Diceros bicornis minor: one gene and its partners. The protein of the gene in region 1 interacts with the protein of each later gene in a biochemical or structural test. Links are inferred from orthologs where the notes say so. Each region holds a gene or a part of one and is shown in the gene's direction. Other genes may lie near its edges. The genes, in order: DLG1, IQSEC2, KCNA4 and ARHGEF26.

What was found.
Region 2: the proteins of DLG1 (region 1) and IQSEC2 interact in a test that uses a peptide from one of them, tested with the Homo sapiens proteins (2 studies listed by IntAct, with this or other methods). The link is inferred for Diceros bicornis minor from reciprocal best matches to the Homo sapiens genes DLG1 and IQSEC2.
Region 3: the proteins of DLG1 (region 1) and KCNA4 interact in a biophysical measurement, tested with the Homo sapiens proteins (2 studies listed by IntAct, with this or other methods). The link is inferred for Diceros bicornis minor from reciprocal best matches to the Homo sapiens genes DLG1 and KCNA4.
Region 4: the proteins of DLG1 (region 1) and ARHGEF26 interact in a test that uses a peptide from one of them, tested with the Homo sapiens proteins (2 studies listed by BioGRID and IntAct, with this or other methods). The link is inferred for Diceros bicornis minor from reciprocal best matches to the Homo sapiens genes DLG1 and ARHGEF26.

The regions. Positions count from the first base shown.
Region 1 is NC_080754.1:29,485,178-29,492,749, reverse strand, and holds the start of DLG1 (disks large homolog 1), read left to right. Parts: upstream 1-4,560; 5' UTR 4,561-4,750; intron 4,751-5,209; 5' UTR 5,210-5,240; coding exon 5,241-5,259; intron 5,260-5,948; coding exon 5,949-6,080; intron 6,081-7,572. UniProt on the Homo sapiens protein: Essential multidomain scaffolding protein required for normal development. Recruits channels, receptors and signaling molecules to discrete plasma membrane domains in polarized cells.
Region 2 is NC_080781.1:46,648,391-46,656,363, forward strand, and holds the start of IQSEC2 (IQ motif and SEC7 domain-containing protein 2), read left to right. Parts: upstream 1-4,958; 5' UTR 4,959-5,074; coding exon 5,075-5,781; intron 5,782-7,973. UniProt on the Homo sapiens protein: Is a guanine nucleotide exchange factor for the ARF GTP-binding proteins.
Region 3 is NC_080746.1:85,611,044-85,618,088, reverse strand, and holds the start of KCNA4 (potassium voltage-gated channel subfamily A member 4), read left to right. Parts: upstream 1-4,039; 5' UTR 4,040-4,382; intron 4,383-7,045. UniProt on the Homo sapiens protein: Voltage-gated potassium channel that mediates transmembrane potassium transport in excitable membranes. Forms tetrameric potassium-selective channels through which potassium ions pass in accordance with their electrochemical gradient.
Region 4 is NC_080741.1:1,455,184-1,462,619, reverse strand, and holds the start of ARHGEF26 (rho guanine nucleotide exchange factor 26), read left to right. Parts: upstream 1-4,418; 5' UTR 4,419-4,649; coding exon 4,650-5,486; intron 5,487-6,750; coding exon 6,751-6,790; intron 6,791-7,436. UniProt on the Homo sapiens protein: Activates RhoG GTPase by promoting the exchange of GDP by GTP. Required for the formation of membrane ruffles during macropinocytosis. Required for the formation of cup-like structures during trans-endothelial migration of leukocytes.

The DNA.
Region 1 (7,572 bases):
TAGTCCAACTTTCTGTCCTGGGTATCTACCTTCCACTGACAAGAAAGCCTTGCTGCATTCTTTCAGGCTCTGCCTGATAGGAAACTCCCACCACCTTGGGGCAGCTCTTTGGAATTTTGGACAGCTCTGACAAACCATATTAAAGAAGAATTTCCTATGTTCCTGTAACTTTCATCCATTAGTTTTAGCCCTCTCCCCTGGATACACAGAATAAGCCTATTTGAAGACTGAGGTCAAGCTCCCTGGAGCCCTCTCTTTTCTCAAAGAAATGACCCTAGATTCTACAATTGTTCCCCTTAGGGTAAGATTCACATCTCCTATTGTTCTAGTTCCTCTCTTCTTTCCAGATGCTGGTTTGTCTAGATCCCTCTTAAAGTGTACAGCCAGGAAATGCCCCCTGAGCTCTCTGTGGAGATCTGACCAGCATGGTCACTTCCATCATTCTCAACATTGTTCCTCTTCTTGCAGCCTAAGCCGGCATAAGCGTTTTTGATGGCATCACATCCTTTCCTTTTAGTGATTGCCTTGGCACAGGCAGCACACTGCTGCTCTGCCAGAGTAAGAACAAAAGATGCAGTAGAGTCTGGCAGGACCTGGGTACCTTTACAGAGGATAGGCTGGGGACTTGGACCAGGGAGAGTACAAATTCAGAAATGTGGAACTATAAGGGTGGCTTGGGTAGAAGGATGGTTGGGAAGGGAAGATTTAGAACTGAGAGAGAATATTCTTTGTGATCAAATCTCTGACATCTCAATAGAAGAATGGGAGATTTGAGCCTTTTCCTGTGGTCCTCTGACTCCTAAGCCTTTTAAGCTATTTGAAAGAAAAGTGAACTTGGGGCTGGAAAGTGTATATATAAATTTTTTTTAATGAGGCAGTTGAAAAAGTAATCAGATCCTATATTGGATCCTATTCAATGGCAGCTGCTACCTGCATAAAGTAAGAAAGACTTCAAGGAAACAGAAGTTGTTTGGAAAAATCCAGTGTCATTGCTTTGTATGTTGTAGTGATGTGGTAGCCAGCCTCCAAGATGGCCCCTAATGATTCTTACCTCCTGGTATTCATACTCTTGAGGCTGACCTAAGTAACCAATAATATTGTGAAAACGATAGAGTGTTACTTCTGAGATTAGTTCATGAAAGATGTTGTGGCTGCTGCCTCACCCTCCCGAATCACTTGCTTTGGAGGAAGTCAGCCACCACGTCATGAAGACACTGAAGCAGTCCTACAGAAAGATCTTCATGGTGAGAAACTGAGGCCTCCTGCTAAAGGCAGCATCAACTTACTAGCCATGTGAGTAAGGCATGTTGGAAGAGCCTCCCTTAATCTCAGGTAAGAATTCAGATGACTGCAGCCCTGGTAGACATCTTGACTGCAATCTCTTGAGACCCCAAGCCAGAACCATACAGTCAAGGTCCTCCTGAATTCCTGACCTGCAGAAACTGTGAGATAATGTTTATTGTTGTTGAAGTTACTAAGCTACTAAGTTTTAAGCTACTAAGCTTTGAGGAATTTGTTATGCAGCTATAGATAACTAATACAAATGGATAGATAGGAGGAATGAGGAGTAAAGGCCTCTGTAGGGGCACCAGCCAGCGTGCCCCTTTAAAACCATGAGTCCTTGAGGCTCCTTGGCTGGGCTACGTGGCAGCACTCACGATGATAACAGTCCTGGGCTTGGCCAACCCAGCTGTTTTCTTGTGGGATAATTAGCACAGAGACCCTTGCGGTCTGAGGGAACACAAAGGCCCTCCAGAGGGGAGTTCTGGTCCTTGGAAGGCAGGTCATACAGGGATGATCCCCCTTGGCAAGCATGCAGCCTTTGTTCCTCTGCCTACTTAAGCAAGCTTCTCTCAGTGGGCAGTTGCCGGTGCACATCTCCTGTCCAGCCAGCCGCCACTGGACGTTCCCTGTAAGTAACTCCCTAATAAACCCATATGTCTTGCCCGCTGTCTCTGGGTCATTTCTTTGGTCTCTTGGCAAGATACCCTGCCACCTTAGCCCAGCTGGGTGTGCGGTCCTACAGCCCCTCATACTAGGCCTGCACTTGTCATGGCCCCTAAGGGTGGAGAAAGTGCTAGCTTCTTTTCTGCTTTTTGACACTGCTGACAACTGCATAGGGATAGAGGATGACAAGAAGGAAGGGCATCATGCCCTCTTGTCTCCTCTTTCTCCTCCCTCTTCTCTTTGTTTTTAGGGGAGGACTAGGATGACACTGAGAATTCACACAAATTTTTTTTTGACTTTTCAGTAGCTCTTGGGAAAGGCTGCGCTAGCCTTTATCCATTTGGTAGTAGGCTGTGGGTCCTTGAGAGCTGGGCTTGGATATTATTCATTTCTATCCCCATTGCCTAGCAAGTGAACGTATATGAACAACGAATGATACTAAGAGGGAGGGCGAAATCCCTCTCTCCTTCTCCTCAATTCTGAAGAGACTCCATTCTTAGAATGGTTCCTTAAGTGGAACCATTCCATTCACAGTTCATCAACGAAGTCTTGATAATAATAGCATGCGTGCCATCAGCCATTTTCACTATTAAAAACTCCCTTACTTCACTATTTTAAAAATCCCTCTATTTAAGCTCCTTGCTTTTAGGAGACTTCTCTCACTTTTACATCCCATTTCTTCTATGAAATGTTGCTTTAACTGTTGCTCAAGCTCCAAAGATGCTTAATCCACGACAGTATAGAGATCTGCTGCCAATACACCAACACACCATTGTATGGAAAGAGCCCTGGCCTGGAGCTAGGAGACCTAATTCTGGGTTGCTGTCACTGATTAGCCTATATGTCCTTGGGCAAGTTGCTTCTCCTCTCTGGACCTCGGTTTCTTTATCTTAAATGGAGAGAGTGGGTCTAGATGAGCCCTAAAGTCGTCGGGTTCTCACAAGAAGTTAAGATTCCAAGGTGCAATCCAGAAGTGAAACCCAGTGGTCAGAGGCATACGTCTGAGTAACTGTTATGGTTACAGTACAAGGTTCTCCGGACTTCCCTTTACTAGCCCAAGGATACGGCCTCCGTGAAAGGCTGTCAAGTTTACTGGGAAGAGTCTTCCGGTTTTGAAAGACACGATCTCCGTGTTTCCAGTTTTGTCACTAACTCTGGATGACCTTGGGCAAATTTTTCTCTCTCAACCGCAGAGCAGAGAGATCTTTGTTATCCAGAAGAGGCTCAAAGACCTGGGCAGTGACTTGAAGAGCTTTCCGTGATTCTCCTACAATCCGAGTGGCTCAGCCCCGGAGCAGGGTCCTGGCCGGCCAGTAGTCCCGCTCCAAGGTGCAATCAAAACTCAGACCAGCTCTTTGAGCGAGGGGCGGCTCGGCTTCGGAGGCGGCGGCTACAGGTGAGTTCTTAAGGGGCCGCCAGAGCTTGGGTAATACGTGGAGACTGGTGACTGGGCAGCGGACGTAGGCAAGGGGGAGTGAATGAATGAGTGAATGAAAGAAGGAACGAATTTTCTCTTCATACCCTTAAATGCATTCATTCATACTTGTGATGAATTCATCACTTAGACTTAAAAATCCCTTAGTAAAATCCTCAAACTCTTATCAAATTAACCAATCTCCCTATTTTACGTGCCCTTCTTTAATTCACCCCCCCCAAAAAAAAAACTTTTACTGAGGGGCGAATAGTAACTTGAAAAAAATCAGTGCAGAGTGGAAGACTGTGTGCAGAGATGGCACCCCCCACCCCCCGCCCAAACTCCTCCCTTTCCCCGTCCCAGGCTCTGCCCTCCCCGCCCCCTAACGTGGGGGGCGCAGTCCTCCCCAAAACCACTTTTCTAGGTTGGAGATCTACCCCCGGGAGCGCCAGGTACTCTCTCCTGCCTTTGAGTTGGAAACAGCATGTGTCTAGTGAGGTTAAAGGGAGTCCTGAAATGTGTCTTGGATCTGGTGTAAGTGAGGTCACGTCTCTCTTCAGACACCCCGACCCTTCTGGGTCTGGGGCGCTACTCGCTCAGAACCGCGGGGCACACCGGTGGACTACGGTTAGGTAAAGGCAGGCTCTTCCAGGCCACCCCGGGCCACCTGTAGAGTCTGTGTGTCAACTCCTTTGTCCTCAGAGCCACTTCGGTGGCCGTCCTTTTAAGCGAGGAGGTTCACTTGGGATGCTCCCCAGGTCCCCTTCCCCGTTCCCCAGCCCCCTCCCGGCCCTCCTCCCCCTTCCAATCCAAAGGTAGCAGCGCTGAGAGCCCGAGGCTCGGCGCGAGCCGCCTCCTCACTTCCCATTGGCTGGGAGCGCCGGGAAGGCGGTCACGTGGGGGCGCGGCAGTCCAGCTCGGGGGCCGCCATCTTGGCGGAAAGTTTGGGGGGAGAGCGGTTGGGGGCGCGGAAGGAGGCGAGGTTCCGGGGGTGGGGCGGCTAGAGGGAGAGAGGGCAAGCGGGCTAGCGGGCCGTGGTGAGCGAGGAGGCGGTGGCGGCGGCAGCGGCGGCGGCGGAGGAAGAGGCAGCGGGGGTGCGGCCGCCGAGGGGAGCTCCTCCCCCGTTCCCTCACCCCCCTGAGCTTAGCTCCTCGAGCCCCGGGCGGGGCGGGGGGACGTGGAGCGGGGGCAGGGCGGGGGAGCCGCCCGAGTCCGGCCGGAGCGCACCCCAGCTCTGAGCGCACGCCGCTCGCAGGAACTTTGTGGCGGCGCCGCAGGTGTGGGGGCCCGCGGAGGTGTGCATGTGGGGCGCGAGGGCGTCGCGGAGAGCGGCCGCTGCCCTGTCCGGCCCCCGCTGGAGTAACCCGGAGGAAGCGAGCCAGGAGAAAGGCAAGCGAGGGGAGAGGGCCCGAGCAGGGCGGGGTGATCAACCCAGCTGGTCCCTTCCCGGAGCGCTCTACAACCGCTGCTGGCTTAGGGGCAAGGGTCGGAGCGCCTTTTCACCCCCCCAGTAGCAGGTGGGAAGTAGGCATACTTATACCGGGGGAGGGGTGGCCCCAGGTCTAGGCATTTAGTGCCCTTTAGAGAGGGGGCAGCTTTCGAGGAGGATTTGGAAGCCGACTTCTCTCTGCTTTTAATTTGCAGGGCTACCCACCCCTGGGTAACAGCTTTCTAGATTGATTGACACTGCTAGGTTTTGAGGCTCCTCCTCTCACTTGGGAAAACTTTGCCAGGTGGGCTTTTCCAATAGGGCTGAGAGTTTTTCGGTTTGAGATTTAGGGGGAAATGCTAGTTTAACCACAATTCTTTTCTTTAGTTCTGTTTGCTTTCTGTTTTATGTTTTTAAAGGTGTGTGCCCTCTTCCTGATTCTGGAGAAAAATGCCGGTCCGGAAGCAAGGTGAGAATTTATTTTGGAACTTTCTTGTGAGTGTCACTTGCTTTTCTGTGTGTCTGTTTTGTGATTGCTGTGTTTTAAAAATGTGTAACTCTGATGAGACAGCACAGTCCTAACGTTAGTAATCTAAGCCTCACATCATTCAGAAGATGGAAACACTTAATGTTTGTCAAACTTTCTTCCTTGACATCTCTGTAGTGATTGGAGAGGCAATTAATGTTTTCCCTCTGAAGTGTCTTTTTGAAAACTCTTAATTGGTTTTTTAATATTTCACTTTATCATTTTTACTAAACACTATTTTGTGAGCAAATGTGGGATATTGGCTAAGAGCTAGTATTTTGAAACACTTGAGATTTGGATTATAATGACATTGTGGATAATCTGCTTTTGCATATCAGATCAGCTGAAACTATGTTGCTAATACTTTGATCAAATGATCTTTTATTGTGGTAGACTAGCCATACACATTTATTACAAACTACTCACCTTCCTCTTCTTTCTACTGTGACATATGTTTAAAATTTTTTGGATAATTCTAGGGAATATACCTGTACATGAACATAGTAATATCGATTGACCTGGAGGATTTTGAGAACTGTTGAGACGTCTTGCAGAATCATTTGCTTCATAGCTAGTGTGTAATACTTTCTTGTAAATATATAATTTTTATCAGACTCCTTTTTTCTTCTCAGATACCCAGAGAGCATTGCACCTTTTGGAAGAATATCGTTCGAAACTAAGCCAAACTGAAGACAGACAGCTCAGAAGTTCCATAGAACGGGTTATTAACATATTTCAGAGCAACCTCTTTCAGGCTTTAATAGGTGAGACTTATTACTTTATTTGTGACCATTATGTGTCAGCTGGGCTTAATGCTGCTCTGAATTCATTTATTTTACTCATAAGAGAGTGATGTACTTGGTTCTCTGTGAGTCATTCAGTAACTTGAATATGCAGTGAGTTGTATATTTTGATAGTTAGGCCAATATCCTTTCCAAAAAGATCTAATAACCAAAAAAACTTTCAGTATGATTATTTCAGTGGTCTTTGCTAACAGTGTTTCATATCCTAACATTAACTATTAAAAGATGGAGAAGTTGCAAAAATGTTTCAGGACTCAAAAGGTAACTACTGTGAATACTTGCTTCTGTATTTGACTTGTATTTCTGTGGAGTACCTGAGAATGCTTGAAGAGTTTTGCTGTGTTTAAAAACATTCATTCCTGTAGTATAGATGTCTGTTTGAACTTGGTATTCATGGAGTCAGAATTTTAGACCTGAAAAATGATCTTAGAGATAATCTTGTCTAATCTTATTTTACAGACAATAAAATTGAAACAGAATTTTATTAATTGTAATTTAAATATGAGGTGGTGCATTGTTTTGAAGGAGAACTGGACAAATAGTCAAGAGTCTTGAATTCTATTCTTGACATTGCCGTTAATTGAATGATATTACACAAGTCATTTAACCTTTTTTTTTTTTTTTTTGTGAAGAAGATCGGCCCTGAGCTGACATTGGCCAATCCTCCTCTTTTTCCTGAGGAAGACTGGCCCTGGGCTAACATCCATGCCAATCTTCCTCTACTTTATATGGGACACTGCCACAGCATGGCTAGCCAAGCGGTGCGTCCGTACGCACCCGGGATCTGAACCAGCGAACCCCGGGCCACCGCAGTGGAGTGCGCACACTTAACCGCTTGCACCACCAGGCTGGCCCTGTCATTTAACCTTTTTAAGGTCACAATATTAGCTGTAGAATGTGGGTGCAGTGGAACAGTGGTTTTTAAGCTTTTTTTTTTGAGTGGCTAGATCCTTTCTTAAAACAAAATCTTATATTTTGTACCCAATCCTCGGTATATAAAACAAGGTGATCTGTCTCTGGCCCTCTCCTCTAGTACCTTGAAAAGTATGCAAACCACTGAAATAGAAAATTTGTCCCTTCCAATTCTAAGAATATAATGTTTTTTTATTAGTCATTGACTATATAACATATTAACACAAGACATACACTTCATTGCATTACATTTATTTTCTCAGTAACTTCCAAGTATATCGATATGACCTCACATCTGTCTGTTGTTAGAGTAACTTTTGATGTGATTTGAGGACTACCTTCAAGTTTGTGTACCCTGTCAACTTATAGGTAAATTGATATTCTCTGCTGAATTTGTTTTAGAATTAAAGATTTTAAAGAAGACCACTGAATACACCTGAATATTTTTTACAAATTTAACATTTTAATAGACTTTTAAAACCATACATAAAAATGGAGAGAACAATATAATGAACTGCTGTACACCTATGACCCATCTTCA
Region 2 (7,973 bases), on another chromosome or scaffold:
GGTCCAGATGCTCCAGTTTGGCAATGGAGTCTTTCCAAGCTGAATCAAACCATGTCTTCTCATCTCCTCCTACCCCTTACAACACACACACACACACGCACACACAGACGTGTGCGTCTCTCATGCCCTCTTCAACCAAATTACGTGTGGTTCCCTAAACACACATTGCTTTCCTGACTCTGTTCCTTTCCTCCCTCTGTGCTACCTGTTGAAATCCTAAGCTCAGCTCAAATACTTTCACATCCATAGAGACCTCCCAGCACCCCAGTCCTGGTGCCTCCATTCTAGTGCTTTGCACATTCTGTCTTGCTTGTGTGACTTATGGTTTTGTTTGTGACTTATGGTTGTAGCTCTCTGACTAGACTGGGAGCTTCCTGAGGGCACAGCCTATGCCTGATTCACCCAGAGCTCTCCATCATCCTTCCCCGCTTTGTCTTTCTCCAGAGCACCATCTGTGTTAGTTTCCTAAGGCTGCCATAACAAAGTACCACAAACTGGGTGGCTTAAAACAACAGAAATTTATTCTGTCACAGTTTTGGGGGCTAGAAGTCAAGAATCAACGTGTTGGCAGGGCCATGCTCCCTCTGAAGGCCTTTAGGAAAGAATCCTTTCTTGCCTCTTCCTAGCTTCTGATTGTTGCCAGCAACCCTTGGCATCCCTTGGCTTGTAGACTCCAATCTCTGCCTCCATCTTTACATGGTGTTCTCCTTGTGTGTGTGTGTGTGTGTCCAAATTTCTCTCTTCTTATAAAACACCAGTCATTGGATTAGGACCCACACTAATAGAGTATGACCTCACCTTAACTTGATTACATCTGCAAAGACCCTTATTTCCATCTATAAGGTCACATTCACAGAGTGAACATCAAGATTTGGGGGATAGTATTCAACCCAATACACCATACAACATGCTCTCTATATTCTATTTGTTTATTATCTCTCTCACCCACTAGAATGTCAGCTCTTTGAGGTTAGGGACTGTTGTCTATTTTGCTCATTGCTATATCCTCAGTGTCTGGAATAGTGCTTGACACATAGTAGACACTCAATAAATATTTTGTGAATAAATCTTTGTACCCATCTGCCCCCTGCCCCACAGGGAATCTGAATGAAAGAAGCAGGGATAAGGACGGGAATGTGGGTATTGCCTAGAACATAATGAATGCGCTGTAAATGTTCACTGGATGAATAGAAGTATTTGATGGATATATTAATTTAACACTTATGGAGCACCTATTTTATACAAGGTACTGAGGAAAGATACAAAGAAGTGAGAAGGAAACATCTGAGCATCCTGGCTATGCATCTGTGTGACCCTGGGCAAGTCATTCAACCTCTGGGTTTCACTTGCTTCATCTGTAAGATGGAGGTAAGTGCATTTGTACATGTCAAGTGTTCAGCACAGTGCTTGGCACATGGTAAGCACCACAGATGTGTTAGTTATTACTGTTGTAGTTGCTGTTATGTGCTAGACTCTGTGCAAGGTGTTTTTTTTTTTAAACCCAGCTTTATCGAGATATAATTCACATACCAATAAATTCTCCCTTTCAAAATGTATAATTCAGTGGTTTTTAATTAACAGAGTTGTGCAACCATCACTGCAATTTAATTTTAGAACATTTTCATTCTCCCTCCAAAAAACCCCATACCTATTAGCAGTCACTCCCCTTTCCCCAATCCATGCCCTAACCCCTGGCAACCATTACTCTACTTTTTGTCTCTATGGATTTCCCTATTCTGAAATTTTATATAAGCGGAATCGTACAATATGTGGCCTTTTGTATCTTTTTTAGCATAATGTTTTCGAGGTTCATCCATGTTTTAGCATGTATCAGTACTTCATTGCTTTTCATGGACGAATAATATTCCATTGTGTGGATATACCACATTTTGTTTACCCATTTGTCAATAGATGAACATTCGATTGTTTTCACTTTTTGGATATTATGAATAATGCTTTTATGAACATACATATACAAGTCTTTGTGCGGACATATGTTTTCATTTCTCTCAGGCATATACCTGGGAGTGGAATTCCTGAGTCATATGGTAACTCTATGTTTGACATTTTGAGAAACTTCCAAACTGTTTTCCAAAGTGACTGCACCATTTTACATTCCCGCCAGCAATAAATGAGTGTTCTAATTTCTCCACATGCTAGCCAATATTTCTCCTTGTCTGTCCTTTTTATTTCAGCTATCATAGTGGATGTGAAGTGGTATCTCAGCGCATGTGTCTCTGTGTGTGTTTTAAGAAACCGATGTTTATTTCTTAACAACCTTATTTCCATTTTCTGTTTAAGAGCCTGTGGAAGAACAGCTTAAGACCACCCAGTGGTCATTCCTACCCATTCAGTGGCCTGAGCAGTGGAAGCTGCAGACCAATCTTTAGTGGCAGGCTGAGTGCTCCAGTCTTCAGCAAGGAAATGCTGGATAGGCACAGAGGGCATCTACATGCTTTCAGACCAGTCTGTGACCTCAAGTTTAGTGGCAGTAAACTCAGGAGCTGAAGCGGTCTATTCACCCTGAAATTCCTCCTTGGTTACAACCTTTTCAGCAGCCGCCTGCTCTTCCTTTTTAGTTTCTTCAGAATCTTTGCAGAAATAGAGATCAGACATGACATCCCATGGATGCTCCTGGGAGATGGTGCCACACACGCACAGAACTTCCCAGGCCAGCATCCACCACATCAGACCCACTGAGTGGGCTCCCTTGTTGTTGCATGGGAAGGCAACGTCCCCATGCTGCAGAGGAGAATCTGTGTTACACAGAGCCGTGGTAGGCAAGTTAACATAAGACACTTCTGTGAGAGTCCAGTGGTCAGCACTGGGATCAGTAACCACCAGAAGTCGTGGCTCCCAGAAGGCTGCCTGGATCTGGTTAGTGAAGGTTCTAGGAGTGAAGGGGCCAGCAATAGGAGCGGCCCCGGTGGCAACAGCAACCTCAGCACAGCTTGCTGGCTAGTATTCCTGGAGGATATGACACTGACATCAGCCCGGTTTTCAATGGCAACAATGGCACAAGCCACCAGCAGAAGCTTCTCCCAGGTTCTCTTCAGATTTATGATGAGAACTTTATTTATGAACTAAATTTATGATTTATCACTTTTCCCTATGTAGATGCACTGTTCCATTTGGAAGTCAAGGTTGCTGCCACCTAAGTGGGTCTCAGCTGCAAGGAATTTAAGTACACTCTCCTCTTACATCTGTAGGACATCAGGGCTCTGGACACTGTAAAAGTTTCCCTTTAAGTTATGACAGGAACTCAGAACAACGCCTTATGGGTAGCACAGCAAGCTCATGTGGTTTTGATCTGCTTTTCCCTGATGGCTAATGATGTTGAGCATCTTTTCATGTGCTTATTGGTCATTTGTACATCTTCTTTGGAGAAATGTTTATCCAAATCCTTTGCCCATTAAAAAAAATTGGGTTGCCTTTTTGTTGTTGACCTGTGAGAGTTCTTTACATATTCTGGATACAAAGCCCTTATCAGATATATCATTTGCAAAGATTTCTTCCCATTCTGTGGTTGTCTTTTCTGTTCCAAATGTTTTTGCATGCTTTTTTCCAAGACCACCTCTGTGAGGTAGGTGTTATTGATAGGGAAATGGAAGTTCAGAGAGGAGAAGATAGAATTTAAATCTAGTTTTGTCCGATTGTAAAACTCATACTTTCTCCTCTACCGCAACCTGCTCACAAAGATGAATGACAACATGTTTCTGGCTTTAAGGAACTCAGTCTGGCAGAGGACATTAAAAAAACACAAATGAATGTGCTATAAAGCAGAGTTCCACTTGTCCCACAGTGCCACAAGAAGTGTAGAGGAAGTGCAGTGGGAGGTCAAGAGAGAGAGAAAGCAAGCGCTTCTGGCTGGGCAAATCAGGGTTGGCTTCAGTATGGTGGCATTTAAGTCTTGAAGGATGGTTACAGTTTCGTTGGATGGAGATGATGGACTGAACGGAGGAGAGCATTTCCAAAGGAGAGCAGAAAATGAGGGTTGAATGAATGAATGGAGCTTTGATCCTGAGATTGGCTGCAATGGGGAGTCCCAGGGCTTGCTGGGATGGGAGATCCTGGGACTGCCTTGGTTGGAGGACCCAGGAACTGGCTAACCTGGGGGATCCTGGGGTTGGTTGGGATAGGGGAACTGGGCACTGGCTTGGATGGAGAGTTTAGGGGTTGGCTGGAGTAGGGGATGCCTGTGATGTTGTGTGTGTTGGGTGGGGGGTGGTGTACCAGGGGCTGGCTGGGATGGGGGAGCTGGGGACTGGCTGGGTTGGAGGGACACGGGGCTGGCTGGGATGGGGAGACAGTCCAGGGACTGGCGAGGATAAGAGATCCAGGGACTGCCCGTGATGTGGGCTGGCCGGTTGTCGCCTGAGATAGAAGGTCCAGGGGTTGGATTGGATGGGGATTCTGACACTGGGATTGGCACACCCAGGGGATGGGGAGTCCGTGGGATGCCTGAACATGGGGGTTGCCTGGGATGGGGGTTCCTGGGATGTCTTCAGTGAAGCTCTTGGGCCTGGCGGACCTGAGGGACATTGGAATGGACTGGGATGGAGGGCTTCGTTAGGCTGCATTAGGTGAGGATCCTGGGACCGGAAGGGAGAGAATTTGGCAGCCTGTGATGGGGCTGGCCCTGGCTTGACCCGTGTGCCTTGGGGCGGGTCCGGCTTCGGGTGCGGGTGGCAGCGGCAGGTGGGGCGCGCGGGGGCGGCCTGGCCGAGCCGAGTGGGGGCAGGGGTGGGGGGCGGGCCGGCGGCCGGGGCGGTCCCGCGCGGCCGCGCTGCGCAGTGACTCCGCAGCGGGCGGAGCGCCGTGGCGGCGGCGGCGGCGGCGGCGGCAGCGGCAGCGGCAGCTGCAGCGGCAGCTGCAGCCGCCTCAGCTCCTGCTATCCGTGCCGCCGGCCCCAGCGCTGTCTCCCGGGCCCCCCCGGGCCCCCGGGCCCTCGAGCCCGGTGCGCGCCCTCGCGTCCCGCCGGCCCCCTCCCCCGGCTGGGCCCGGGGGAGGGTGGCGCCGTGAGCGAGCGGGGACCCGGCTCTCTTGCCCCTTCCCTTGCCCCTGGGCCGCCAGGATGGAGGCGGGGTCGGGGCCCCCGGGCGGTCCGGGATCCGAGAGCCCCAACCGGGCTGTGGAGTACCTGCTGGAGCTGAACAACATCATCGAGAGCCAGCAGCAGCTGCTGGAGACCCAGCGACGGCGCATCGAAGAGCTGGAGGGCCAGCTGGACCAGCTCACCCAGGAGAACCGCGACCTGAGGGAGGAGAGCCAGCTGCACCGCGGGGAGCTGCACCGGGACCCCCACGGCGCGCGGGATAGCCCCGGCCGCGAGAGCCAGTACCAGAACCTGCGCGAGACCCAGTTCCACCATCGCGAGCTGCGGGAGAGCCAGTTCCACCAGGCGGCCCGGGACGTGGGCTACCCGAACCGGGACGGCGCCTACCAGAACCGGGAGGCTGTGTATCGGGACAAGGAACGGGATGCCTCCTACCCGCTCCAGGACACTACAGGTTACCCAGCCCGTGAGCGCGACGTTGCCCAGTGCCACCTGCACCACGAAAACCCAGCCCTGGGTCGCGAGCGTGGCGGGCGGGAGGCCGGACCAGCGCATCCGGGCCGAGAGAAGGAAGCTGGCTATTCGGTGGCGGTGGGCGTGGGGCCCCGGCCACCGCGGGAGCGGGGCCAGCTGAGCCGTGGCGCATCCAGGAGTTCCAGCCCCGGGGCCGGCGGTGGTCACAGCACCAGTACCAGCACCAGCCCGGCCACAACCCTCCAGAGAAAGTAAGGAACGTGGTTTGTACCCCGCCCCCAACCCCGGCTCTTCCCCTCTTGTGCCCTCTCCAACTTGTCCGGCCGGTAAATTAAGAAGCCAGTGTCTGATTCCATGTCCTTTTCTCCTGTCCCAACCTGTCAGGAGAAGCCAGGTCGCCCTCATGCACCCCTTCTCTAGCCACCCCAGACTGGGTTGGCCGATCAGTGCAGGTGTCGCTTCTTTCTCAAAACCGTGGCCAGTGAGGGCCTAGAGCAGTCATCACCCCCTTCACTTCTTCACCCCCTAGCTGTATCCTTGCCAGAGGATGGCTTTTCTTTTATTTATTTATTTTGGATGTGCTGCTTGGGATTTTTATTGTCTGCGATGGTGTCAAGTCAGAGCCCCAAGGGAAAGAAAGCCCTCCTTTTTTTTTTTTTTTTGCCGGTTGGGGTCTTCTCTGCAGATGCTTGGTGCAGGCCTGATCTTGTCTCCTCTGGCGGCCTCAGCTGCATCCTTTCCCAGAGAGGCAGTTGGGGACCAGAATGGCTGCTGGAGGCTGAGACATCCCTCTGAGGGGAACTGCAGCACATCCGGCTGGGGGAGCAAAGATGGGGGAGCAAAGATGGAGGCCTGACCCTTGGCTAGTTCCTCAAAGACCACCCCCTTTCCACCCTCAAGAAAAACACCACCCAATTAAAGAGAGTACCAGGAAGGGAAGTCTACAGATCTTCCCTCTTGTTGGATGAGTACCAGTTTCTGTGCTAGGGTCTGTGTCGGTGTGTCTGCCTATTTGGCACAACTTGGCAATATCTCTTGGGTTGGTGGGACATGGGCTGGGTGCGCTTCTTCCATGCAGATACCATGGTGAGCTGGTCGGGATAAATGTCAGGCTGAGAGAGTCAAGGGCGTGCAGGCTCACAGAGCTGCCCTAAAGGCTCCCTGATTTCTCTTCTGCTGTATTGGACAGAACACTGAACTGGGAGTTAGGAGACCCAGGTTTCCCTTCCAGCTCTGCTGCAGATTGGCTTTGTGACCTTGACTAAGTCCCTTCCTCTCTCAGGGCATCACTTTTCCCATATCTTTCTAAAAGGCAAGGTCTGCCTTAAATGCTCTTTAAAGACCCCTCCAGCTTAGATTTGATGGTTCTGTGACTAATCCAGCCACACTACAGAGCAAGTCTGAAGTCCTCTAGCGAATGGACAGCCTTCCCCCTCCTCTCACTGCTCAGCTGGTCCTACCATGTGCCACAACCAGTGGAGTGTCTCTTGGAGGCTGGGCTGGGGGTGGGGAAGCCTTCTGCCTCAGGAAATCTGCCGGGAGACAGCTCTCTGCAACTCCCCCGTGGTGAGGCAGCAGGCTGGGGTGCTGGGTTGAGATGGCTGGGCCCCAGGAGCTGCAGCTGCAGCTCGACGGCTCGGCTGAGCTCCACTGCAGTACACCCTCAGCTGAGTTTTGGTGTGGACTGCCCCAGAGTAGTCTGGTGGTGAGGGAGATGGGCTCTCCTGCCCAGGTGAGGCTGCTGGGAGCCCATTCTTGGAGGACTGCTTGAGTGCAACTTGGGGCCCCACACTGGAGGAAGGGTCTGGATCAGCCAAGCAAGGCCCTTTCAGGAGAGGGCCATGGTGGGCTAGGGACAGAGGCAGACTGGATGGGCATTGTGGTGGGACCTTGGCTGGGGAAGATTTTTCTAGAGTGGTCAGGATGGTGACAGAGGAAGCAGCCTCATTCTGTGTGGCTCCAGGGAGCAGAACCAGAAGCAGTGGGAAAATTTGGGATAAATCAGGAAGAACTTTCCAGTCCAGCCATCTGCATCACCAGGCAGGGTTGGGGGCTGGCTGGATCTGTCCAGCAGAGGCCCGGTGGGGGTCCGGGAGAGCTGGAGAAAGTGTAATTCCTGAATCGGTGTAAAGCCCAATGAAATGACTTAAGTCTTCCCCAATTCCAGGATTCCAAAACCCTCAGATTCTCTATCCTGCAGACATGGTTCTGAATCTCTTGGCTGGCTGGAAGCCCATTTGCTCTTGAGCTCTGTGCTTCTGCCATCCGTGCAAGCCCGCCTCTTGGTCCTTCCCTCTTTTTGTGCATCCTCCAGGCTGTTTGTTGGATTTCCTTGCTTTGCATTTGCTACTGGATTAATAAGGGGGTTTAGATAGTACTTTGAATTTCTCCTAACCATATATTAAATATTTGCACATCCATTATTATCTCTTTTGGTCCTCAA
Region 3 (7,045 bases), on another chromosome or scaffold:
TGTTAGCCCAGGGCCAATCTTCCTCAGCGAAAAGAGGAGGATTGGCAACAGATGTTAGCTCAGAGCTAATCTTCCTCACCAAAAAAAAAAAAAAAATTCCATGTACAAGAAAAAAACTAGCTGAGTGACTCACATTTTATAAGGAATTATGGGCTGCTCAGAACATCTGCATCCATAAATTTGGGAATGGGAGACACGGAATCAAGTCCCCCAGGACTTTTTCACTCTCACATCCTTCAGAACTTTGAAAGTCAGAGAGGTGAGGCGCTGGGGTAAGCAGGTAAAAAAGCGATCTTCTTTTAGTTTTCTCCCAATACATGCACTGAACTTTCTTGGCAAATGGAAGCCTTTTTCATTATTCATTCATTTTCGTTCATTCTTATTGAGTGCTCACTTGGGGTCAGGCGCTGGGCTGGTTGCTTGGGATACAGTGCCTGTTTTCAGGGAGGTGTCACAGGCTTCTTGGGAGAGAGAGGAGGAGTAAACAGAACATTGCAATTCACTGGGGACCATGGTCCCCAAAGAGAACAAAAACATTGATAATGGACTTAGTTTAATCCCACAAGGCCTCTCCCATCTGTTTTGTACAGAGGAGGATCTGCTGCCTGTTGCCCCTTTCTATATCAACAAAGGCTTCCTAGTGTGGTCTGGAACATTTGTACCAGCAGTGAGAGAATTCAAAGCCAGGGAGAAATTATTTGTGGTAACAGGTGTATATAGAGGGGGGCATCTGAAAAATTTTGGCTAGTTGATGACTAAGAAAGGCAATAAAATAATTTTTTCCTCTCCAAGTAAAATACAGTTTCAGACTGAGACAGGTAGATTTTTGTTGGGCACAAGCAAAGAATTTTCTGCTACTGTTTATTTGTGTGTATTTCTAGGAATTCTTAAGAGAATTTCAGGGAGAGAAATGGAGTATTTCTTGTTTGCTTTATAAAGAAATTATTTAAAAGAGCAAAGAGTTTTGTGCCTGTGTGTGTGTGCATGCAGGTGTGTGTGCATGGAAATGTGTGAGTCTGTGTGTGTGTGTGCGTGCAACGGTTGAGGGGAAGCCTGGAGGAGGAGCATGTCCTCTCCAGTGGGACCCCACCTATCTGTCAGGTTCCAGTTACTCCTGGTTCACCCTAGGGCCACATGCCTGTGCATTCTTTACGGCAGCCACTGCAATTCTCATCATTCTTCAGCGACATCTCCTTTTTCCTTGTCAATCCTTGCTTGCTTCCCCCAAATTAGATGCTACTCCATTCTTTGCATCCCAGGAACACCATTCTCATACCTCCATCATAGCATACCTGCCTTGTTTCATAATCTGGCTATGCATCTGTAACAGACACTAGTTTGTGAGGACAAATGGGCAAAGACCACACGGTGTTACCCTCACTAGCGTGAGGTCTGTCCACAGTGCAGAGTCAGATTGAAGGGCCCAGTTCTGCTACATAATTAGTTATAACTTTCGGGCAAGTTCATTAAACACTGTAAGCCTCATTTCCTTCTCTATAAAATAGTGATAATAATAGGACCTACCACATAAAGTGTTCAGTTAGGCAGATAAAATTAGCCAACAGGCATGCGAAGCACTTAGCACAGACGGGGTCCTGGGTGGGCACCTGAAAGAGCGTTACCTGCCTTGATCAAGTCTTCAACAAGTAATCCTCATAGCACCTGAATGAGTATCTTCTGAGAGGGTTTTCCTTCAGCTGCATTCTTCCTGGGGTGCTTTAGGAATTCAGATTCCTGATACCTAAGAAGCGCAAATATTTATAAATCCTCAGGCATTTTAAACTTTAAAATTCTCTAGGCCATGATAGGAACAAACAGTAAATGGCACATGGAAGCATAATTCATCAAGTTTTAACTTGGTCCAGTTAAAATGTCCAAGCTTCGACGTAACTGTCATCTTTTGTGCATCATTCAATCTCAGTTTTCATCTCCCTGAAAGCATTCCACAGTTGCTCCCAATTGATCTCACAAATTGCTTTTGGGAAACTAGTCCCAGGATCCTGTGCCCTCAGCCCTGCTTTCCACCATACCAAGAAACATCGTTCTGATGAGACAATAGCCGCAATCATCTGCTTCCAGTCGGAATGTACGAAACCGCACAGGGACTCCATCACCTTGAGGAGGTACAGAGGGAGGGTCGGGGCCAGTGCAGGTGATGGTTTCTGGGGACATCGGCCCTCCCTCCGTGCCGGAACGGACTAGGGTGGGGAATGCGCAGAGGCAGAGCCTCTCCAGAGCCCGCCTGGAGGCGCCTCTCTCTCAGTTCCTCCACGAGAGCCTCACAGGTCGGTTTAGTCACCCCCAGAGTTCAAGCTGCACTAGCTGGAGGATGTTAGGAAAACCAGACCCCACATCTGTTTTTCTTTTCTTTCTTTTATTTCTTTCTTTTCACTGATTACAATGAGAATCTTTTAGTTATTTAAAAAGATCAAAAGAATCAAACAGCAAGGAAAAGCAGTCCTCCAGGTGTTCTTCGCTGAGCCAGCCCCGGTTAGCTGGTGAGCGCAGGGCATATCTATAATTCAGTTCGGGAATATTTCTCTTAATAATTAATCGAGCGCCACAAAAGGAGGAGGCCCAATAGGGCCCTCGAACAAAGCTGCCAGCTGAGGACGACAGTGGCGGCCTCGGCGCCAACTGACCCTCCCAAGGTCGGATTTTCTCCAGCAGCCTGGGCACGCGCCGCGACCACCTGGCTGGCCCACCCGGGGAGCGGGGCGTGGTGTCCGGAGCCCCGGTCGCCACCTGAACTTCTGGCGTGTCTGTGTGTAAATTCGCACTTCCCACCACTAACCTTTCTTTTTGTGGATTTGTGGGGATTGCACATTTACATCCACGTCCGGGGGCATTTCATACGCCAGCCACCTAATAAGCAACCTGGAGTCCAGCCTATTTTGAGGACGCGCTGCGGGCGCACTTGCCTGCCCTCGGGGCTAGCGCACAGGGGGTAGTGCGCACAGGGGTGGTGGCCTCGGGGATAGTGTGCACGGGGGTGCCCTCGGGTGTGGTGCCCTGGGGGGTAGTGGCAGGGGGGTAGTGCCCAGGGAGTAGTGCGCACAGGGGTGGTGCCCTCGGGGGTAGTGCCCTCGGGGGTGGTGCCCTCGGGGATAGTGCGTATGGAGGTGGTGCCCACGGGGCAGTGCCCACGGGGGTAATGCGGCTTTTGTTGTTCAATGGGGGTAGGTGGTGTTAGAGATCCGACCGTAACGGTAGAGACCTCCCCGGAGCCAAGCCTCTTGCCGAATCGCATTTCTTTGCCCAGCAACAGGTTCACCGAGGGCTCTTCTCCTTCCGAAGCCCCCGCCCCGGGCCGCGCTAGCGCTGCCCCAGTCCCCCGCCTCTCTCCCCCTCGGACTCTGCCTCCCTTCGCCTGGGCCGGGTCCAGTTTCTGCAGCCCTCCCCTCATGGGTCCTCCGCGCCCTGAGGCCCGACTCCCGAGCTGGGGCCGAAGGTCTGTGCGGAGAGGCGGGACCGCGGGGTCCGGGCGCGCGCGCAGGCGGGAGAGCCCCCGACGGCTGCCTGCCCGAGGGGCCCCGGGCCCCGACCCCACAAACCCGTCATGGGCGCGGTGGTGCCGGGGAGATGCAAAGACAGCGGGCCCGGCGGGGGCGAGGACGCCCAGAATCACCCCGCTGTCCAGACTGGACCCGGCGAGGGCACCCTCCGGACCTCTCCTGGGGCTCCTCCGTCGGGACCAGCTCCTCCCCCCGGGGCCACAGCTCGGGGCTCCAGAGGGTTCCCACCCGCTCCCGGGAGCCGGGCGTCGGGGCTGTGCGGGGGCTGGCGGGGACGGTGTCGTGACCGCGCCCGCCCCGCCGCGCCGCCCCCGGGGCCCCTGCCACCGCGCGCGCGTCCCACCCCCGGCCCGCAGGCCCCGCCCCTCCGGCCCCTTCGCCCCTTCGCCCCGCCCCGGCCCGCAGGCCCCGCCCCCAGCCGCAGGCCCCGCCCCGCCCTGGCCCCGCCCCCCGCGCGCTCCCGGCCGGGAGGCGTGTGCGGCGCCGGCAGCGCCGCGCGCGGGGGATGCGTGCTGCAGGCGCTGCTCCCGCTAACAAGCGCTCGCTGCTGTCTAGGATCCCGCTGCTTCTGCTGCGGAGCCTTGACTTCCTCTCCCACCTGGCCCTCCTGTGCTGAACTCCGGAGGAGCCCGAGTCTTGGGGTCTTCCCGGGCGCAGCCCGACCCCCGCCCCGGGCTCCAGCGGCGAGAACCCTGCGCCCCCGTGCAGGCGACAGAACTTGTTCCCTGGATGTCCTGGAGCCTCCGCCTGCCTCCCCGGAGTGGTTCCTTCTACCCGAGATCGCTCTTCCCCTCCTCCGGCTGCTGTCGCTCTGGGGGGAACGACACCGGGGTTCTCTCTATTTTTCTTGTGCGCCCGCCTGGATCGGTAAGTGTGGTGCCCTCGGGTCTTTTCCCCACTCTCCTCTACGGCTCTTCAGAAGCAGTGGGCGTTTGAGGGATAAATAATATCGGGAATGTGACAGAAGGGCATGAATGGAAGGCGGTTAAAAATAACCCAGGAGGTGGAGAGGGAGGTGCAGATGCTGCGGGGCGCTCGGGGCCGACGGTCGCTATCGCGACCCCCGGGCTGGGGATGGGGGTGCGCCCTGCACACGGCGCCGGGGGGCCGGGGCTGGAGGCGGGGGCGCGATGGAAGATGTCGTCCCGGCGAGGCGCGGCTCAGGTTCAGCAGCGTTCGCCTCCTCCCAGGCTCACCGGTTCCGTTCCTTGGGAAACAGCTGGCGAGCGGTTTGAATTGCTGCCTCTCCCAACATTTGGGTTTGCGTGCATTTGCTGAGCATTTGAGCAACACATAGCGACTGTGCAAATGGCGTGCGTTGAAGTGTATGTTTCTCACGGTGTTGGCCTTTCTGATTCTCTCAATCTCTCTCTTTCTCTCTCTCCCTGATAAGGTTCAGGTACCACCCTAAGACAGTTGCAGGAATTAGCACTGAGAGATGAAAACAGCCCTGTTGGGGGTGGGAGGAGGAGGGGCGGGATGCTTTGCTGTTGTTTGGGGGCGCAGGGTTTGGGGAACGGGTAGTCTGCAAAATCGTATTAGTTTGATGGTGTTAAAGAGGAAGGGACATTTCGCTGCAAAGGTCTCCCCCATAAAGGCTCCTGGGAGTCGGCTTGACTGGATTCTCCTAACAGGAATACCTTGAGAAGGAAGAGAATTTCTAAACCAGTCTGGTTTGCTGGGTAGAAGGATGTTTTCTTTCTTCTTCTTTTTTTAAAGATCAGGGATAGTGAGGTAACTGGTAGCCAATTAAAAGGAAGATAATTTGCTTTTTGTAGGGTGGGGGAGGGAGTTAGATAAACAAAAACTAGCACACCTAAATAAATAAAGGAATAAATTAGAAATTATTTGGTGTGGAACAGAAAGGGGGCAGGAGATGGTGAATGAGAAGACCCTCTGATTCATGACCTTCTGGGCGTCAGTTGGGCGGGAGAGGTGTGCGTAGTATACGAATTTACAGGCACTTTGGTTACACTGGAGCTTTATGTAAATAATGTATTATAACTGCTCTGAGGGAGTTGGGGAAGAAGATGAGCAGACTCCTAGGCTATTTGGCCTGTGAAAGTCTTTAAAGGATGTTGGTCTGACCCTCCACAGTGAAAGCAGAGCTTTGGAGACTTCCTGAGGGAAACATTTCAGAGTATGGGATGATGTTCGGAGTCAGGGAAAGAGGATGCCATTTGAGATACCTTTAGAGGTATATTTTCAGGGGTTTGTGTCCCATCAAGTTCGCCTCTTGCCCTATGAGAATGTGTGTTCTTGGGAAGGGATATGTGGCTGAGAAGCCTTCTGTCTGCCACTTCCCTGCTTATCTCTTCGTAAAAGTCGGGTGTGTTGAGGCTTCTAGGCTGGCATGGTTCCGCAAGCAGCAGCAGGTGGTCAAGAGCCGAATCCTGCTAATGGCTGCAGAAAGCCATTTCTCTCATGCTCCCCCAGTGCTTCCAGTAATAGAAGCTGGTGCCCATTCTGATGCCCTGAATTCTGAGTGTCCATATCCTTCCCGGTTCCCCGGGCCACTCTTTGCATTCTTGGAAGTCCTGCTGGACAGAGTGAATGGAAGAAGCAAGAGGAGACAGGAGACTGGAGTGGGAGCTTTTACAGGTCCTGGTGGAGAAGATGAATTAGCTGGACTGAGGCAGAGGAAACCAAGGAAGAAGAAAGGCCAAGACTACCAAGTGACAGTGGGGACAGAGTGTGCTGCAAGGAAGATGTGGTCAGGGAGGGGGAGATTGGGAGTAAAGGCGGGCAGAGAGAGAGGAGGAGGGGTTGAGGGATGGGAGCTATGGATTAAATTATAGGGGAAAGTATGATAGGCTGAAAATAAAGTCCACACGAACTGGGATTTAAAATGTAAGGAGATAGTCCCTTGAGAAGAGTGTAGGAGGAAGCCTTAGAGTGAACATGGAGGAACGCAAGGACAGAAGATGATTCTTAGACAACTGGAAACGGAGATTAGCTCCTAGGCTGTGGGTGGCAGAGAGTGTTCTGGAGTCTGAGGAACAGAAAAGCAACAACAAGGACATGCTTCAGGGAGTCAGGGAGTGCCAACTCGACACAGGCCCCGGGTGAGTCTCAGAACACCCTGGGTGTCCTCACGTTCCGTCCTTCCCTACTTGAGACAGTGCTGTAAGGACATACACACGTGGGTGTGGGTGGATAGATGGTAACAGTTTACGTTACTGTCATGGTATTAGTAACTACCAGCATTTATTGATATTCGTTATGTACAAGGCTCTGTGCTATTCTATCAACATCTTTTATCTCATTTAATGCTTCCAAGAGGGAGGGGGGAGGTTGTATTATTACCTACACTTTGTAGATAAGGTGACTGAAGCTTGTTCAAGCAGTGGAGCCTGGATTAAGGAAAACTAGTTGTTCCGATTTCTCTAATCCTGAATCAAGACAGAGTAGGGGTGGAAGGGGACTAAATTCAGAAATATTTTGAGTGGAAATTTAAAAAAATGCCTTGAGATTAGTGAATGATGGAAGCAGCTGTAAAGTGACAGCATTATTTTTTTTTTTCGTGAGGA
Region 4 (7,436 bases), on another chromosome or scaffold:
CAGTAAGAAATGCTTTGATGAACATCCTTGAACGTACTTCTTTGCACACACCAAGGATTATTTCCTGTGTGTGGAATTACTAGGTCAAAGATTTGCCTGTTTTCAAGGTTTGATTGAGTATCATCTAATTGCTCTCCAGAAAGGTTGTACCAATTTACATTCCTAGTATGAATGGGTCAGAACCCCCTTTTGCCTGCACTTGTACCAACAGTGGGTGTTTTGTGTTTTTTTTTAAATCTTTGTTGATCTAATGAATGAAAAACTATGCTGTCATTACTGCTTTAATTTTGTTTTTACTATTGAGGCTGAGTATATTTTTATGTATAGTGGGCACTTGTGTCTTCTCTGAAATGTGTATTCTCACTCTTTGCTCATTTTCCATAGTTACCTTTTTCTTATTGATTTGTTAATGATGTAGATACTAACGCTTTGTCTGTTATGTGCATGTTTAAATATTTTTCTCTAATTTTCCTCTAAGAGAAGATTTCCCTCAGATTTTATGAGTTTAGTTGAATTTTTTTAATGTACAAACAAATCCGTTCATTTTTATTTATTTTTATTTCTGAGATTGGTATCGTCCGATTTGTTTTAAAGGATAGAAACGCTTAAATACTTTCAGAGTGTCAGATGCCATCCAGGGAAATCCCAGACCCTCAGTTTATGTCGCACACCACAGTCTAGTCTCACCATATTTAGCTGAATTAATCTCCCACAACTTCTACATGCAAACTCTCTGTTCTCGTGAGTTTAGTCTCTGGTATGGGAGCTCATGGGCTCTGGAGTCTGACAGACCCCAGTCAGGCTTCTGACTCAACAACTAAACAACAGTCTATAAAGAGCTCTTTGTGTAGATACAGGATCGATGTGAGGTGAGTGACAGTGCTTCATATATCATTGGCTCTTAGTAAACATCAGTTTTCCAGCCATCCCCCCGTGGTTCTGTGCCTGCTGGGGCAGCTCTCTGGGATACCTGTCTCCTCTTCACCCCACAATATTTGACCTGCTCTCTGGCCCAGTTCTCTCCAGACTTCACAAAGCCTTTCGTAGAGCAGGGAGCTCAGCATGCATCTTACTCAGCCTAGGTGCCTTATATGATTATTTTAATATTTCAAACGTAGTGAATCAGCCAGGTTATAAGCTTCAGGAAGGCCTGGTCCAGAGCTTGGCACTTAAATGCACCCAATATAATATGTAAATAAATGAATAAAGAGTGCATGAGATATAACTGCAAAGTAGTAATACTAGTTAACAAATTGCACTTAAAAATTAGCCTAATTATTATGCCACACACATAATTGGTGATCAAGGCAAATTTGTTTAGTAAATGTAGCAACAATTGGTATCTTAGCCTCTGGTATCCTGCGTTATACTATTGAATATTTTAATAGTTCAATATGTCATTGGAGGAAATGGGTGAAGGTGGTTAAAAGGTGCAACCTTCCAGTTATAAGATAAATAAGTCATGAGGATGTAATGTACAGCATGGTGATTACAGTTAACAACACTGTATTGTATATTTGAAAGTTGCTGAGAGAGCAGATCATAAAAGTTCTCATCACAAGAAAAAAAACTAACTATGTGAGGTGATGGATGTTAACTAAACTTATTGTGCTGATCATTTCAGAATATATACATATATCGAATCATTATGTTGTACACCTTAAACTAATACAATGTTATATGTCAATTATACCTCAATAAACTGGAAAAAAATTAAAATTTTTAAAAATTAAAAACTATACCATTGGAACATACCAGTGGAATATGTCATTCCTACTAGTTCAATATACTATATTTCTCCAATCCTAAGAAGCACTTTGGTCCCATCTCTGACACCGGGATGTGTACTGTCAAGGAAACAGCCATCGGCCAGGTGGCAGTCATGACATACCTGGCATTGCCTCTGTGCTTGTCAACATGGTCATAACTGTTCCATTTTCTGTGGAATTAAGTAAATTCCATTAACTGTGCAATTTAGTATTACATGTGTCCAAGCCATATGCCAAGAAATGCAGCTGAAGGCAGGAGAAATTGCCAGATGTGTCAGATTAGATGGAAGGGATTCCAAAGCAAGAGAGGCTGATATAACCGATTCACGGATCACAGGCACTACACACACAAACTCTCACAGGACTATAGTGAAGGCCCGGAGCTACAGTTTGTCAGAAACTTCCTTCCATCCGTTAATAGAGAAGCTGCACAGCTTGTAGGCAGGTGATTCAGCTGAACAAGAAAACTACGCTTTCAGTCACAAAGGATAGCGCCAGCATCAAACTTGCAGAGTGAGTGTGAGTGGCTAGGAAGCAGATCCCAGAGACAGGACTAGAACATTTGTTAAGAAATGCTGCACTATCAATGATCTTGTGTGGAAAAACACACGTATTGATGCTCTGCGTGAAAAGGGATTCAGAAGAATTAGACTAAGTGTACAGAATTTTTAGAAATACTCTAATCAATTTATTTGCCTACATTTTCCTTTTCCATGTATGCACATTACTGAGAAATCTTTGTCTAAGTCTAAAGGCACTGTTTCAGGAAGTGTAAAACAGAAATCCTCTGTGATAACACATGGTGTCACAGTTTAATTGGCAGCTCTTCTCCTTCTCTGGTGTTCCATGTAATCAAAGATGCCTTAGATTTGAATCGATAGGAGAAACTGAATGGAGGCTAAAAGAGGCAGGAGGTCTGTGAATTTCAGAGCTTCCCTCAGTGAAGGACCAGAGCTTGGTGTTTTGTTGTTGCTGTTTTGGTGGGTATCATGTTGTTCCTTTGGGATGAGGTAGGAAGATCCTGTGATTTCTTCACAATCATCAGTTACACTTGTTTGCAGATCCAACATAATTTGAAGAGAAGCTAGCGTCTAACCGATCGCATTCCGAATTAGGTAACATTTCATTTTGTCATTAGTTATTACATTTTTCCAAAATAAAAGTAATATGTGCTAGTATGAAAATGTGCTGTATTAAGTGGGTATGTGTGAGTGTGTAATCAGCCATATTTCTTCCAGCCAAAATATTTGGTAAATTTCTTTTTAAAAAACTCAATTTTTGGAGGCCATTTCTTCTAGTTTATAAAAATATTTCAGATCAAAGTAACATATATTCAATGTACAGCATTTGGTAAGAACCGGAAAGTATAAAGAGGCATGAAAAACATCATGCTTCACCTCCCCACCCAGAGATGGCCTCAATATCTCTGGCCCTTCCACTCGACGTATCTAGGACAACCACAAGAGCGAACTCGCACACACTGGATGCTCACCGCATCCCCGCCGGATGCACGCAGGCTGAACCGACCCGGCGATCAGCCCACACGTGCTGCTAGCAGAACTGATCACACAGATGTCGTGCCCGAAAAGCGTCGTCTCCTCGAGCTGCCTCATTCTGCGCGCACGGCAGGAGCCGGCCAGGCCCGTCTGGATCTGGCAGCGGCGCTGTGGGGAGGGTCCCCGTGCCGCGTCGCTCGCTCCCTCCTCCACTCCGGGGTGTGCGCCTGGGCCAGCGGGCAGTGGACACGCGCCGCCCCGAGCCCGCGGCCCCGGCACAGCGCGACGGGGCGCACGAGCACAGGTACACGCGCAGGCTGCCGTGAGCGCGGACAGGCGCCTGGGAAAGCAGACACGCGGGCCGGGGTCAGGGCGGCGCGGAGGCCTCTCTGACGGCCACAGGTCAGAGGTCGAGGGGCAGCGGGACAGGGCGGGCCGCAGAGGCGGCGCGCGGCGCAGGGCTTCCCAAGAGGGACAGGATCCTGACGGTGTCCGCGTGCGCTCGCACACCAGCACCTTGTCGCCGGTGAAGCCGCGTCACTTTTCAGAGGTCACACTCCGGACTCAGCACACACACCCGGAGACGACGATGGAAGCACCCCCGCCCCTCCGCAGCGGGCCGTGCGGGCCCTTCGGAACACCGCGGCACGAACGAGCAAACCCAGATTACAGAATATTTCACGCCGCGGGGGCGAGGCCACCGGATGTGCGTTTTAAGACCACCCGAGGCCAAGGCTGGGGGAGGGGTCACACAGGGCGGGACCAAGTTTGTGGGCGGGTCAAGGCTGAGGGCGGAGCCATGGTTGGGGCGTGGTCGAGGCTGGGGCGGGGCCTGATGAGGGCGTGGCCAGGGGTGGGGGCGTGCCCAAGGCCGAGGAGGGGGCCAAGCCTGGAGCGGGGCCGAGCTGGGGGCGTGGCCAAGGCCGAAGAGGGGGGGCCAGCCCTGGGCGGGGCCAGGATGAGGGCGGGGCCCAGTCTGGGGGCGAGACCAAGCTCGGGGCGGGGCCGGGCCGAGGGCGGGGCCAGGACTGGGGCGTGGCCAAGGCGGGCGGGGCGGCCGCTCCCGCCAGCGGACTCGGTGCGGGCCGGGCCGGGCCACCCACGGGCGGGCTCGTCGGCGGCGGGGCGGAGCCCGACGGTAGCTGCGCCCGGGGCGGGCGGCCGGCTGGCGCGGGGCGCGCCCGCGGAGAGGGTGCTGTCCCGGCGTCCGCGCTCGGCGGCGGCCCTCCGTGCGGCTCCCCCGTCCGGCCGGCGCGGGTCCCGCCCGGGAGGGCGGCGGGCGGTGGGCACGCGCGTGGACCGCGTGGCGGGCCGGCCGCCGAGTGCGCCGGGCGAGCGCGCTGCCGGAGGCTCCCGGCCGGCCGGTGGACGCGCGGGCTCCGCGATGGACGGCGAGGGCCGCGGGCCCCTCTCCGGCGGCGGCCCGCCCCCCCGGCCCCGCTCCTACCAGAGCCCCAGCGGGCTGCTGGTCACCGATTTCCCGGCCGAGGACCGGGCGCCGCCCCCCGCCCCGGCCGGTAGGACGGTGCCCCCCGGCGGCAGGGCTGTCTCCCCGCGGCTCCGACGGCCCAGGTCGCCCCGGGGCCCCAGGGCGGCGTCGGGCGGCCCCCCGGAGTCCCCGGCGAAGGGCCCGGCGGCCTCGCCCGCGCCGCAGCCCGTGCGCCCCCCGCGGACCGCAGCCCCGCCGGCCGCCCGGCCCCTGTCCGCGCCCGCGGAGAACGGGCTGTGCCCCCGGAGCCCCGGCCCGCGTGCGCTCGCCGCGCGGGCGGCCGAGGACCCCGCGTCCCCGGGGAGGCCGCCCCCGCGGGGGGACGCGCGCCCGGACGGCCCCGCCGTGGTCCTGAGCACCAACAGCCCGGCCGCCCTCAAGGTGGGCAAACAGCAGATCATCCCCAGGGGCCTGGCCTCGGAGACCAGGGCCAGCAGGCCCGGCGGCCAGGGCGCCGAGCCGCACCGGAGGCTGGTCAAGGCGCGCAGCATGGTGGAGGGGCTCGGGGCGGCCCTGGGCCCCGCGCAGCCCGCGCCCCCGCCCGACGGCGCCGACGACAGCCCGGGCTCCCTGCGGAGGGGCCTGCGCTCCACCTCCTACCGCAGGGCTGTGGTCAGTGGCCTTGACGTGGACAGCCCGGCCACCTCGAAGAAGAAGAACAGAATGTCCCAGCCTGTCCTGAGAGCCGTGCTGGAGGACAAGGAGAGGTTCTCCAGCCTGGGGAGGACGAAGGTAGGAGTAGGAAGGTGTCGAGTGGGGAGGGGCCCTCCCTCTGTGGTTGGTGGGTCAGACCTGTGCACCTCTGTCTCAGCCATTCTGCTGCTGGCCGGCACTGCCCAAGGTAATGCAGCTTTGTGGGGGGAAGCGAAACTCCTACCACTGTTGTATAACTCTCTTACGTTCAGGCAAAATGTGGTGGGCAAATGGAAAAAAATACCGCAAATTAAGTATTGGCTGAGTGAGTCAAACGCTTAGTACAGGAGCTGAAAAGGGGATGGAGAGCAGGCGTCCTCTGCTCTCACGATCTTGGGTCAGCTGTCCTGTGCTGGTTTGCAGGGGTCGCTCAGTGCGTGCTGATCCATCACAGCCGACCCAGGAGAACACTGACTTCCTTTGAGCCTGTTGACTGTTTTAATTATTTACATTAGTCATTTAGTTATTGAATTATTTTTTGAGTGGTGATCACATAATAAATGCCATGTAGGTAATATGTGAATTTTGAAATCAATTGCCAGAATCACAGAAGACACACATAGTTTGTCATCTTTGTTGTTGCTTGTTTCTGTCACCACGGCCTCTGGTTGTGTTTATTCCCATTTGGTGCCCACTCATCCTGCAGTGCTTTAGCAAGTTGGTGGCTCAGAACTTCAGATTAGAGTGAAGTGGGTGGTACTGCTTCCTGATAAGGCCTAGGAGCTGCACTTGTTAACAGGCTGCCAAATAGGAGGGGAAGGAACAGGGAAGCTGGAGAGGGGTGTCTTGGAGTTTGTGTGCTGTCTTCTCCAGACACAGGACAGACAGCAGCAGGGAGACACTCATTCTGGCACCACATCCTTTCCTGATTAATCGGAGGACTGGAACCAGTCTGTACACATGTCACACACAGCAAGCCTGTCTTATTTTAGATCCTATGGCCTTAAAGAAAAGAAATTACATGACATTTTATGTGTTTTTTTCCCCCAACTCTGCAAGTATAGCAGAGTTCAGTTTAATAGTGAGGTGAGTCATGAATAGTGAAATGAGCTGAACTGCTTCATCTGAGGGTTCCGAGCTGTTTTGACGGGGTGTGGGGACACTGTTTATTTCCCCTGTTGTGAATTGTAGCGTCACATGCGTGAGCTCCTCCCTCCCAGGGTCAGCGGCTGCATGCTTTTGGAACCCTAATGAAAGTAACGAAAAGGACTTTTACTTAAAACAGCTGTATTTTCTGTTTGGCTCATTCATACATAGTTTGCTATGCTTTTTCTTTTTTTTTTTTGCTTTTCTTGTTTCTTAGAAAACAACGCTGAAAGGACAAGGAGCATTTGATGGGGAAGGTAAGCATGTGGTTTTCCAGACTTTTATTGCTGTTTCAATGTGGAATTTCACTCAGAAGTCGAAATCCAACTGCAGTAGCAAAAACGCTTGAGATGAGAAAAATGTCCAACTTCTTCCCAAATTATACAGCACAAAGCCCTGCACGAAGCTGAACTTTCGTCTCGTGATACCAACAGTCAGTGAAATTGGTGGCATTCTTGTAAGCTGATGACTTGGTCACTGTCCTGGGGTGTTACTTCCTCCCTCTCCTGCTCTGTCCCCCCCTCCCTGGAAACGCAGGAGGAGGAGGAGCAGGCCCCAGCTCTTCAATTTTCGGGGAGTTTGGGATTTAGATCTAAAGTCCTATATCCTTAGGTCCTATTTCCTTTGACTTAAGCTTCTTTTCCGCGTATTTCTGCATTTTAGTATCATTTCTGACCGCCTGTTTCCTTGTCAAGTTTCCATTTTGGGGAAATCTAACTCTCCTGGCTGACAGAAACAAATTCCTAAGAATAGTATAGTATTTTTGTTAAGAATCTCAAAAACAAAAGCCGCTTCACCAGGTGTTCAAACCCTAATCAGATTAGTGGACTGTGTGTAAATAGGTGGGTCAGGTGTCAACTGGGAGAACATGAGGATAGCCGCCCCGCCTGCAGCCCTGATGGG